3 linked regions of the Callithrix jacchus genome follow. The protein of the gene in region 1 interacts with the protein of each later gene in a pairwise test. Links are inferred from orthologs where the notes say so. Each region holds a gene or a part of one and is shown on either strand. Other genes may lie near its edges. The genes, in order: TRIM63, CKM and MYOT.

Region 1 (3,750 bases):
AGCGCTCTCAGATGGTCTTCACCATAGGCCTCCTGCTACCACTTGATCTCTGCTTTTATTTTACTGCACCATAGTTTGGAGTTTTCTTAATTCAGTATTTGATCCATGGCACAAATCTCAGTGTATAAAAAACAAAACAAGCTTGTAATCATTTAAGTAACACAGGTCTGCCCCTGGCCATCTTTTCCTACATGCCAACATGGAAGATATCCTAGAAACATGGAGAAAAGTTAAAATATGTGCAGAGAGCTAAGGAAAGCCTCTGGCTAACTTTTTTTTTTTTTTTTTTTTGAGACAAAGTCTTGCTCTGTTCCCCAGGCTGAAGTGCAGTGCGGTGATCTCAGCTCACTGCAATATCCATCTCCCCAGTTCAGGCAATTCTTCTGCCTCAGCCTCCCAAGTAGCTGGGATTACTGGCATGTGCCACCATGCCTGGCTAATTTTTATATTTTTTTGGTAGAGATGGGGTTTCACCATGTTGGCTAGTCTCGAACTCCTGACCTCAGGTGATCCACCTGCCTCAGCCTCCCAAAGTGCTAGGATTACAAGGGTGAGCCACTGTGCCCGGCCCCCTCTGGCTAACTTCTAAGTGTCCAGGCAGGGATTTGTGGCACCGCATGAGGGTTTTTCCTTTCTATCTCCCTTCCTGGGGTGTGAGTTTCTCAGGGCAGGGAAACCAATCACTCATCCATCTGTCACCCTATAATGTATATTAGTTGCCTGATATACACTAGTACTCAGAAAAATGTCTGATAAATGAATAATATTCCTGGCTTTGCCACTTACTTTTTTTTTTTTTGAGACAGAGTCTTGCTCTTATCACCCAGGCTGGAGTGCAGTGGTGCAGATGTGAGCCATCACGCCCGGCTGCCACTTACTTTCTAACTGACTTTGAATATAATCCTTTTCTTCTCTAGTCCCATTTCAAAATCTATAAGACAAGGGGCCTGGACTGCATTTCAGCACTAAGTGAAATAAGTGGCTGAGGGATGCAGGATGGGCTGGGGGAGGTCGCTACCATTGCTACCCAGCAAAATGCTGTGCTGAGGTCTGATGCAGAGGGATACAGAGGGGCTGCCTGACCCCTCCATCTAGGAGCTGCCCAGGACTCCAGAGGAGGGGATGGAACTGATTTAGGTCAATGAGGGGGCACTGGCTATTAACCCCTTGAATCCCAGTGGCTCACTTGTTGGGTCCCATCCCTGACCCACTAGCCTGGTGCCGGGGGGAGACCAATTTCTGGAGGAAGCTCTGGGTACCCAGTCTTCCCCTAAGCCTGCCTCTGAACAAGCTGTTCTTGTTTATGACCCCCGTCCCAGCAGAACAGTGATTGCTCATCCTTGCATGTGATTTGAGAGGGCCAGTCTTTCAGGTCTGGAGGAAACTCAAGCCCCACCAGCCGCTTGGCATCGGAATGCTCAGCTGGTCTGCTCCTGGGGCTCATGTGACCAAGATCCAGCTATAAATATCAGAGGGGCCTCAGACTAAGACAGAATTCGGGCACCAGGAGAAGGAAGCCAACAGGATCCGACACAGTGTTTCCTGACAAAGGCAAGACCCCCGCCCAGGTCTACTTAGAGCGAAGTCAGTAGAGGAGGCAACTAGGTGCGGCTCTCACTCTGACCCACAGAATGGATTATAAGTCGAGCCTGATCCAGGATGGGAACCCCATGGAGAACTTGGAGAAGCAGCTGATCTGCCCTATCTGCCTCGAGATGTTTACCAAGCCAGTGGTCATCTTGCCGTGCCAGCACAACCTGTGCCGGAAGTGTGCCAACGACATCTTCCAGGTCAGTGCCAGGGGCAGTCTCATCTGGGGGCCTCAGGTGGCTGCTCAGCTTACCTGTGATGAAACCCTTCTTCATGCTTAGCCTTCCAAGCGGGATGGGCTCTTTCCCCTTGGAAGTGAACCCTTACAGAGGCCTCTGGACAGGGTTGAGAGGGGCTGGGAGGCAGCTCTGGCTGTCACCGTCCTTCTCCATGACGCATGTTTCCCCTCCCCACCCTGCCCATAGCTCCTCCACCCCTACCCTGAGCACTGCTGTTGACTCTCCAATCAAGAGTCAAATGCCTCAAGTGATAAGCGGGGGAGGCAGGGGACAGGAGAGAGAAACCAGACCCGTGGGGCTGGAGCCAGCTCCTGGTGGCAAGAGGCCCAGAGCTTTGGGAGGAGGGTGTCAAGGAGGCAGTGGGCAGTAGAGGCTTCTTTCCTTTCGAGGCTGTTCCCTACAATATGGGAGCAGAAGGGGCTTTAACTCCCCAAGAAAGGAAGGGGGCAGGTGTCCTGGCTAGGTAGCAGGATGCGCGGTTCCCCAGGGGCACTTTACAAAATGTGTAAATTTTCACAATTTTATCTTAATAGTAGCAGCCCTAGGAGCTTGCTGTAATTCTAATACCCACTTCATAAGTGGGCAAACTGAGGCTTAGAGAGATAAGGTTGCTTGCCCAAAATCACTCGGAGAATAAATGCGACTTTAACCCAGGTCTGCTGCCTCCCCGTCCTGATAATTGCTTAGCTGCTTCTCAGATGTTCCATGTGTGAGGACTGGTTCTCACTGCAGCCTGCCGAGCTCCAGGTCCTCAGATTTGACCAGAGTGGTTGAGATAGGTAGAGGAAAGGGTAAGAGGAGATTAGAAAAGGAAAAGGCTGAGGAGGGACCCCAGACCTCACCTTGACCTTTGCCACCTGCAGGCATCAAATCCCTACTGGACCAGCCGGGGCAGCTCAGTGTCCATGTCTGGAGGCCGTTTCCGCTGCCCCACCTGCCGCCACGAGGTGATCATGGATCGTCACGGAGTGTATGGCCTGCAGAGGAACCTGCTGGTGGAGAACATCATCGACATCTACAAACAGGAGTGCTCCAGGTCGGTTCTCATGCCTGCTGGGGGTCCATCCTCCTTCCCAGCCATGCTGTGCCCAGCTCCCCCAGGCTCCTTCCCCCTCCTTCATCTGCTCAGGATCCAGGCCCCTAGCTGGACTAGTTACACAAGCCAGTTCAGAGACAGGATTGGAGACCCATACACCCCAACCTGGCTCTCAGATCACTCAGTGGATGGGAAGGGACCCAGACATGAGGCTGCCCTTCCAGGAGAGACTAAGACAGAGACTCAGGGAAAGTTGAGATGTGGGAGGGAAAGAAAAGCCCTGGGGCCAGCTAGTGGCTCTGGTCAGCAGAGAAAGTGCCCAGTGGGAAACAGCCAGGTTGTCCATAAGGATAGCAATGACTACTCTCCCGTGTGCCAGGAGGAAGAGTTCCAGGCACTGGGAAGGCTTCATCTTAGCACCTCCCAATCATTCTGTGGATCAGGCATGACTCTATTATCCTCATTTCACAGATGAGAAACTGAGGCTAAAAAGGTGAAGTCAATTAGCTAAGGTTTCCCAGCTGGGAAGTGAAAGAGCCAGGAGTTAACCCAGTCAATCTAGCTCTGAGTCTCCATGTAATAAAATAGCAGCTCATTCACAGGCAAACTGTGTGAGAGGTGGAAGTTGTACCGTGTTGGCCTCAAACTGGGGAGAGAAGGCCAGGCGTGGTGGCTCACACCTGTAATCCCAACACTCTGGGAGGCCAAGGTGGGATGACAGATTGAGGCCAGGAGTTCAAGACCAGTCATGGCAACATAATGAGATCCTGTTTCTACAAAAATTAAAAACCAGCTGAGTGTGGTGGGGCATGCCTGTAGTCCCAGCTACTAGGAGAATTGTTGAGCCAGGGAGTCAAGGCTGCAGAGCCATGATCATGCTACTGC
Region 2 (3,486 bases), on another chromosome or scaffold:
GCCCTCAGATTTTTTTTTTTTTTTTTGAGACAGGGTCTTGCTCTGTTGCCTAGGCTGGAGCACAGTGGTGGGATCATATCTCAGTGCAGCCTGGATCTTCCAAGGCCAAGCGATCCTCCACCTCAGCCTCCCGAGTGGCTTGGACTACAGGCGTGCGTGCCACCACGCCCGCTAATTTTTAAATTTTGTAGCTATGAGGGTCTTGCCATGTTGCCCAGGCTGGTCTTGAACTCCTGGGTTCAAGTGATCCTCCAGCCTCGGCCTTCCAAAGTGCTGGGATTACAGGCATGAGCCACCGCACCCAAGCATTTCCAGATTTTAATATTTTATGTTCTAAGATTCCACTTCCGAGATGCTAGGATTGGGAGCTAACACAGTGCGATGGGAAATCCTACATCAGGATTTCCAAGATGTTATCAATTCTGAGTCCAAGCTTCTGTTTGTCAAACTTCCTGAGATCCCAAGGATCTATAACAGTGCTGTTCAAAGATTTAAGCCCCTAAAAGCCCTTGATCACAGGATTCAAGGTTTTGCAGGTCCTGTGACGTTAGTCTACAGGTTTAAGCTTCTGCGTTTGGAGGAGGTAGATGCCACCCACCTTCCAACCCTCAGGCCTGCCTCCCCCGGGCGGTGGGCCGAAGTCTGGGAGAGGGGTGGGAATGGGTCCCCCGGAGCTGACACCTTGGCCTCTTGCTGTGGCACCTTACTCTAGGCACAATGACAACAAGAGCTTCCTGGTGTGGGTGAACGAGGAGGATCACCTCCGGGTCATCTCCATGGAGAAGGGGGGCAACATGAAGGAGGTCTTCCGCCGCTTCTGCGTGGGGCTGCAGAAGGTGGGTGTCCACTCTTTACTGCCGACTTCTGACTCCACCTGGAACGCCCCACCGGCTTTCCGAGGCCCCGCCCCTTGTCTATACTAAGCCCTGCCCCACCCACTTTCTAGGGCCCTGCCCCCCGGATCTGGCTCCACCCCTATACCAAGTCCCGCCCCTCAAAACAAGCCCCACCTACTTTCCAGGGCCTCGCCCCTCGACCCAGCACCACCCTACGCCCAAGCCCCGCCCTTAAGGACCCGCCTTCAGGCCGGGAGCGGAAGCTCAGGCCTGTAATCCCAGCACTTTGGTAGACTGAGGAGGGCAGATCACTTGATGTCAGGAGTTCAAGACCAGCCTGGCCAGCATCGTAAAACCCTGTCTCTACTAAAAAAAAAAAAAAAAAAAAAAAAATTAGCCAGGCGTGGTGGCGCCGCGCCTGCAGTCCCAGCTACTCGGGAGGCTGAGGCAGGATAATCACCTGAACCTGGGAAGCGGAGGTTGCAGTGAGACGAGATCACGCCATTGCACTCCAGCCTGGGTGACACAGTAAGACTGTCAAAAAAAAAAAAAGAAAAGAAAAATCGTTCTTAGTCCCTGCCTCCTCAAAATCTTGCCTTGGTCACCCTTGTCTAGCCAGTACCCTCGGAATCTCCTACCTCCTGGTTCCCTCCGAATCCCATCTTCACCCACGTTCCCACGCCTTTCTGGACCCTGCCCATGTGGCGGGTGCATTTGGAGGTGCCTGCTGGTGCTGATCCCTGGTCCTCTCCCCCAATCTCAGATCGAGGAAATCTTTAAGAAAGCCGGCCACCCCTTCATGTGGAACCAGCACCTGGGCTACGTGCTCACCTGCCCATCCAACCTGGGCACTGGGCTGCGTGGAGGCGTGCATGTGAAGCTGGCGCACCTGAGCAAGCACCCCAAGTTCGAGGAGATCCTCACCCGCCTGCGCCTGCAGAAGAGGGGCACAGGTGCGATTCCCACATCCCCTGCACCACGACGGGTGGGGCGGGCCCTTTCGGGAGTGGAAAGGGAGGCTGGACAGCCCCATGAGTTCTGGGTATCCGGCAAGGGCTGACCGTCTGTGAGCCTGCATTTCTTCCTCGTAAAATGGGCGCCAACACGCCCACGTCATAGGAGTCAATGAGGGATTTTCACGGTTATATAATATGCATTGCGTATGCCCTTGCACCTCTCTCGAGTTTCCCCATTTATAAAGTGAGGAGGGGTCAGGATTCGATCCCACGCCGCCTGCCTCTGGAACCCACTCTCTTACCCACTATACTATATTTTCATGTTGGATAATCGAGTGGTGTGGTACCCTATCTAAATCCAGAGACTTGTAAGCCCACGACTAGACAGGCATTACCTGTGTGCAGGTAACCTGTTACACAGTAGCCACTCAACACATGCAGCTGTTGCATTTGGCAAGGGGACCACCACATCCTAGCCACTCTGCAACCTTCGCTGTCTCCTCATGCCCCTGTCCCTTGCTCCTACAGGTGGCGTGGACACAGCTGCCGTGGGCTCAGTATTCGACGTGTCCAACGCTGATCGGCTGGGCTCATCCGAAGTAGAACAGGTGCAGCTGGTGGTGGATGGTGTGAAGCTCATGGTGGAGATGGAGAAGAAGCTGGAGAAAGGCCAGTCCATCGATGACATGATCCCCGCCCAGAAGTAGGCGCCCTGCCCAGCCACCACCGACTGCTGGAACCCAGCCAATGGGAGGGCCTGGCCCACCGGAGGCCCGCCCCCTCACTCCTTGCCCCGCCCCCTTTCCCGGAATCCCACCCTGTGATGGTTCTGTCTTCTGGGGGCTCTCTCCACCCTTCTCAGACTTCCAGTTTCAACCAGAGTTCCAACCAATGGCCTCCATCCTCTGGGTTCTGGCCAGTGAAAAATCTCCCTGGCAGGGTCCTCTTCTTTTCCTAGAGCTCCGCCCCCAACAGGAGCTCTAATTAATGGAGCGCTCCCAGCACATCCGGAGCTCGTACTTGTCTCCACGCAAAGCAATAAATAAAAACAATGGTGGCCTTAGCTTTGTGCGATAGTTATTGAGGGAGGAGGTGTAATTGGCCACTGTGCGGCCTCGGAGAGGTTTGTCTTGTCTAGGCATGTACTAAACATGTCTTATCTCAGGTCTAAAATGAGGCAAAGTTAGGTCACAGAATCTAGTCCAAAAATTAGAAGGCTTGGCCGGGCGTGGTGGCTCACGCCTGTAATCCCAGCACTTTGGGAGGCCGAGGCGGGCAGATCACCTTAGGTCAGGAGTTCCAGACCAAGCTGACCAACTTGGAGAAACGCTGTCTCTACTAAAAATACAGAAATTAGCCAGACATGGTGGCAGACGCCTGTAATCCCAGCTATTTGGGAGGCTGGGGCAGGAGAATCGCTTGAACCCGGGAGGCGGAGGTTGCGGTGAGCTGAGATCATGCCATTGCACTCGAGCCTGGGCAACAAGAGCAAAACTCTGTCTCAAAAAAAAAAAAAAAGAAGAAAAGATTTAAAAAAATAAATTAGAAGGCTCTACGGGGAATCTGAGACCTCAAGAGGCACTAAGCCCAATGTCACTCTCCCAAAGCATGGGCCCTTTCCAACTCTAGCTTTGAATTAGCCATGCTCAGATCTCAATCCCAAGGTCCACGCTGGGGAGGAATGCAGCCCAAGG
Region 3 (3,650 bases), on another chromosome or scaffold:
TAATGTGTCTCTCTACTCCTCAACAAAGAAGGATTTTTGCATATGAAAAAAAAAAAACATCCACTCAGCTGGGTGCAGTGGCTCATGCCTATAACCCCAGTACCAAGGGAGGCTGAGGTGGGAGGACTGCTTGAGGCTAGGAGTTTAAGACCAGCCTAGGCAACATAGTAAGACCCTATCTTTACAAAAAAAAAAAAGAAAGAAAGAAAAATTAGCCAGGCATGGTGGTGGCTTACACTTGTAGTCCTTCCCGAGATTGCCTGTGGGAAGATCGCTTGTGCCGAGGAGTTGGAGGGGCTGCAGTGAGCTATTATAGCCTAGGCGACCAAGCAAGACACTGTCTCAAAAAAAAAAAAGAAAGAAAGAAAGGAAAGAAAAAGAAAAGAAAAAGCACATAAGATCTGAAAGATGTCAAATAAGCAATATTATTGTTTAAGCAAATATTGTAACAATTATTTTCTCCTTTTGAAGGAACAATATTCTTCAAGAGAAGCTCACTCTACCACAGCCAGGAGCACAGTATTCTCAGGATCTGAACGAGGAAGAGCAGACCAAGGTTGCTTCTGATTCCTGGCAACCTTCCATAATTCCAGGCTTGTGGCTCCAAAGTCAGGGCTCCACCCTTCCAGGAACAAATCATTATAGTAATAACGTGCCTTCATCTTCCATATACCAACTAAGCATGTTTAACTACGAACGTCCAAAACACTTCATCCAGTCTCAAAACCCATGTGGCCCCAGACTGCAGCCTCCTGGACCAGAAACCTCCAGCTTCTCTAGCCAGACCAAACAGTCTTCCATTATCATCCAGCCCCGCCAGTGTACAGAACAAAGATTTTCTGCCTCCTCAACAGTGAGCTCTCACATCACCATGTCCTCCCCTGCTTTCCCTGCTTCTCCCCAGCAGCCTGCTGGCTCCAACCCAGGCCAAAGGGTTACAACCACCTATAACCAGTCCCCAGCCAGCTTCCTCAGCTCCATATTACCATCACAGCCTGATTACAATAGCAGTAAAATCCCTTCCCCGATGGATTCCAAGTAAGTGAATTTTTACATATTGCATGTACAGTGAACTTGTATCTGAGGAGTTTGCAGCGGGGTGGGGGTTAGGAGTTTTAGGATTATGCTGCAGTTCATTTTTTACTATCTAAAAAGGCAATGTGACCTTACAGTCTCATTCCATAGTTCTAATAGAACATGCTGAACCAGCATACTGGTAATAAGAGATCATCTGACAATTCTCCAGTGTCCAGGCTGAGCTGAATCCAAATTACCTATTACCCCATAAAATTATTTACCCATTATTTTCCATCTTTGAAAAAACAATTCCTCACATACCTAAGAACAATGAACTTTTCCTTTAGTTCTAAGCTAAGCTCCTCATGCTGTAAATTTAATTCCTCTGGTTCTGGGCTCAGCTGAGATGAACACCTGTCTGCTCATCTTCAGATAGGATTTCCTCCTATCACATAAGCAAAGGCTATTAAGTTTCTTCTCAGTTTTTCTTCCTTTCCCTTTTCCCCTCTAATCCCGAACATCCACTTGGCTGAAAAAATTTTAAATTAACAAATAAAAAAAAATCTGGAACTCAGACTTTTGAGTGTATACATTTTCCTTACTATGATCAGAAGGAGAGCCTGAATAGATGAAGGCTTATGACCTTAAGGTTTCTTCTGTTAATTAAAACCACACCTTGTTCAAATTAGTTGGGTTGATCTAAATACAGGGACTAATACTGAGGCCTTATGAAAACATGTGCTATTTCTACTGCCCTAAGACTGTTCTAGGAGAACCTGATATGAAAAAGGACATGATGGTTAGGCTTTTTTTAAAACATGAACTGAATACCTTGTGCTTATGCAAACTAAAGGCTATCAGATTTCCTGTTCCTTGGCTGGCTGGAACACTCAGAGAATTGAATCAGAGGCATCTCAATAATTGTCCAATGGAATATGTTTTGTTGCAGGCTTACTGATACATTCACTCAACTCCACTAATTTCTCGCAATCTTCTCTAGAGGCTAATTTTTCTAGAAATTTCTATTTTTGGTGACAACTTTGGAAACCTAGTTGAACCGACTATAGCAATTCAGCTTGCAAAAAAAAGTTTCAATATTTAAAAAACTAAAAATCAGGAAAACCAAAAACATGTTAGAATCCTACAGATACTGAGTCGAACCATTTGAAATGGCTGATAATCAACTGTTTTTGACCTACAAAAATAGCATTCTCGTAGGTTTAACCTAATATTTTAAAAGGATGCTTTCAATAATTGAGAGCCCTTTCTTTCTCTTCCCTCCCAAATTCCCTTAATATTCATGATATATAGTAGATTTTTCCTGGTTACATTTACCCTGATGATCATTTTCTATCTAGCTTTCTATTGTTTCCATATTTCCTACATAAGCATTTTAAAATGTAAAACAACTTTTTCTGTTTTTCTTAGTAAAGTCTTTCAGTTCTATTCCAAATTACTCCCCATAAAAGAAAGTTATTGAAAACCTAAGAAAAGAGAAAGAGGCCAGGCATAATAGCTCACACCTATAATTCCAGCATTTTGGGAGGCCAAGGCGGGTGGATCACCCGAGGTCAGGAGTTCTAGAACAGCCTGGCCAAGGCCAACATGGCGAAACTCCATCTCTCTAAAAAATACAAAAATTAGCTGGGCACAGTGGCAGGCACCTGTAATCCTAGCTATTTGGGAGGCAGAGGCAGAAGAATCGCTTGAACTTGGGATTCAGAGGTTGCAGTGAGCTAAGATTGCATCACTGCACTCCAGCCTGAGAGACAGAGCAAGACTCCAACTCAAAAAAAAAAAGAAACAGAGAGAGAGAGAGAAACGCAAAACTATAATAAGAAATAAAGCCTAGGAGGTCCCCAAACCAGAGATCAAAGATCCAGCTTTAGCTGTTCCATTTTCAGCAACCACAGATAAATCTTTAATCTTCCCATAGCCACTTGATACCCATTTTGTCCAGCTGTACAGAGTGGAAAGCCCTGGCCCTTTGAACATTTGTGCACAACTCCCTCATTGTTATGAGGGGCTCCAATTTGCCCTGACTTCCAAAATGATCCCTTGGATTCTGACCTAGAGAAGTCTGAAACCTTTATTTAGGTTTTCATCAATAGGAAGCTCTTAAGCAAACATTTTACCCAGTTGATCAAACTACAGACTGAAAATTGAGGGGAACTCAATTATTCTTCCAAAAAGCTTTCAATATGAAATTCAGCAAGCACTTTACTACCCAGTGCTTCAGTTTTCTGGTCTGTAGCAATATTAAGGAATTAGGTAATTAATCATAGAGAAAGAACCTATAAAGCAGTGTGCAAACATACTATTAGTTTGTAAATAGGAACATTTATCAAGTCCTAACACTTAAGCTAACTAAACTGGTAATAATGAGGGTATTCAGTGAACAAAGTAACTGAGGTTACATATACATCGGTGATTCTCAGGATTGATTTTGATAATCCTTCAGTATTTTTCAGATATATTAAGAATTTCCCAGATAGGACAAGTCTAAAAACAATTATTTAATGTAATTCGCATTAACAAATGTGTGACTTACAAAGATGGTAAGCTAGCATTAAAAAAAAAAAAAAAAAAAAAAAAAACAGGTGGCTCACACCTGTAATCCTAGCACTTTGGGA

What was found.
Region 2: the proteins of TRIM63 (region 1) and CKM interact in a two-hybrid assay, tested with the Homo sapiens proteins (2 studies listed by BioGRID). The link is inferred for Callithrix jacchus from reciprocal best matches to the Homo sapiens genes TRIM63 and CKM.
Region 3: the proteins of TRIM63 (region 1) and MYOT interact in a two-hybrid assay, tested with the Homo sapiens proteins (2 studies listed by BioGRID). The link is inferred for Callithrix jacchus from reciprocal best matches to the Homo sapiens genes TRIM63 and MYOT.

The regions. Positions count from the first base shown.
Region 1 is NC_133508.1:62,720,188-62,723,937, reverse strand, and holds the start of TRIM63 (E3 ubiquitin-protein ligase TRIM63), read left to right. Parts: upstream 1-1,491; 5' UTR 1,492-1,631; coding exon 1,632-1,790; intron 1,791-2,692; coding exon 2,693-2,865; intron 2,866-3,750. UniProt on the Homo sapiens protein: E3 ubiquitin ligase. Mediates the ubiquitination and subsequent proteasomal degradation of CKM, GMEB1 and HIBADH.
Region 2 is NC_133523.1:39,484,305-39,487,790, reverse strand, and holds the end of CKM (creatine kinase M-type), read left to right. Parts: intron 1-598; exon of another isoform or gene 599-712; coding exon 713-836; intron 837-1,599; coding exon 1,600-1,789; intron 1,790-2,320; coding exon 2,321-2,499; 3' UTR 2,500-2,855; downstream 2,856-3,486. UniProt on the Homo sapiens protein: Reversibly catalyzes the transfer of phosphate between ATP and various phosphogens (e.g. creatine phosphate).
Region 3 is NC_133503.1:36,291,503-36,295,152, forward strand, and holds part of MYOT (myotilin), read left to right. Parts: intron 1-471; 5' UTR 472-682; coding exon 683-1,038; intron 1,039-3,650. UniProt on the Homo sapiens protein: Component of a complex of multiple actin cross-linking proteins. Involved in the control of myofibril assembly and stability at the Z lines in muscle cells.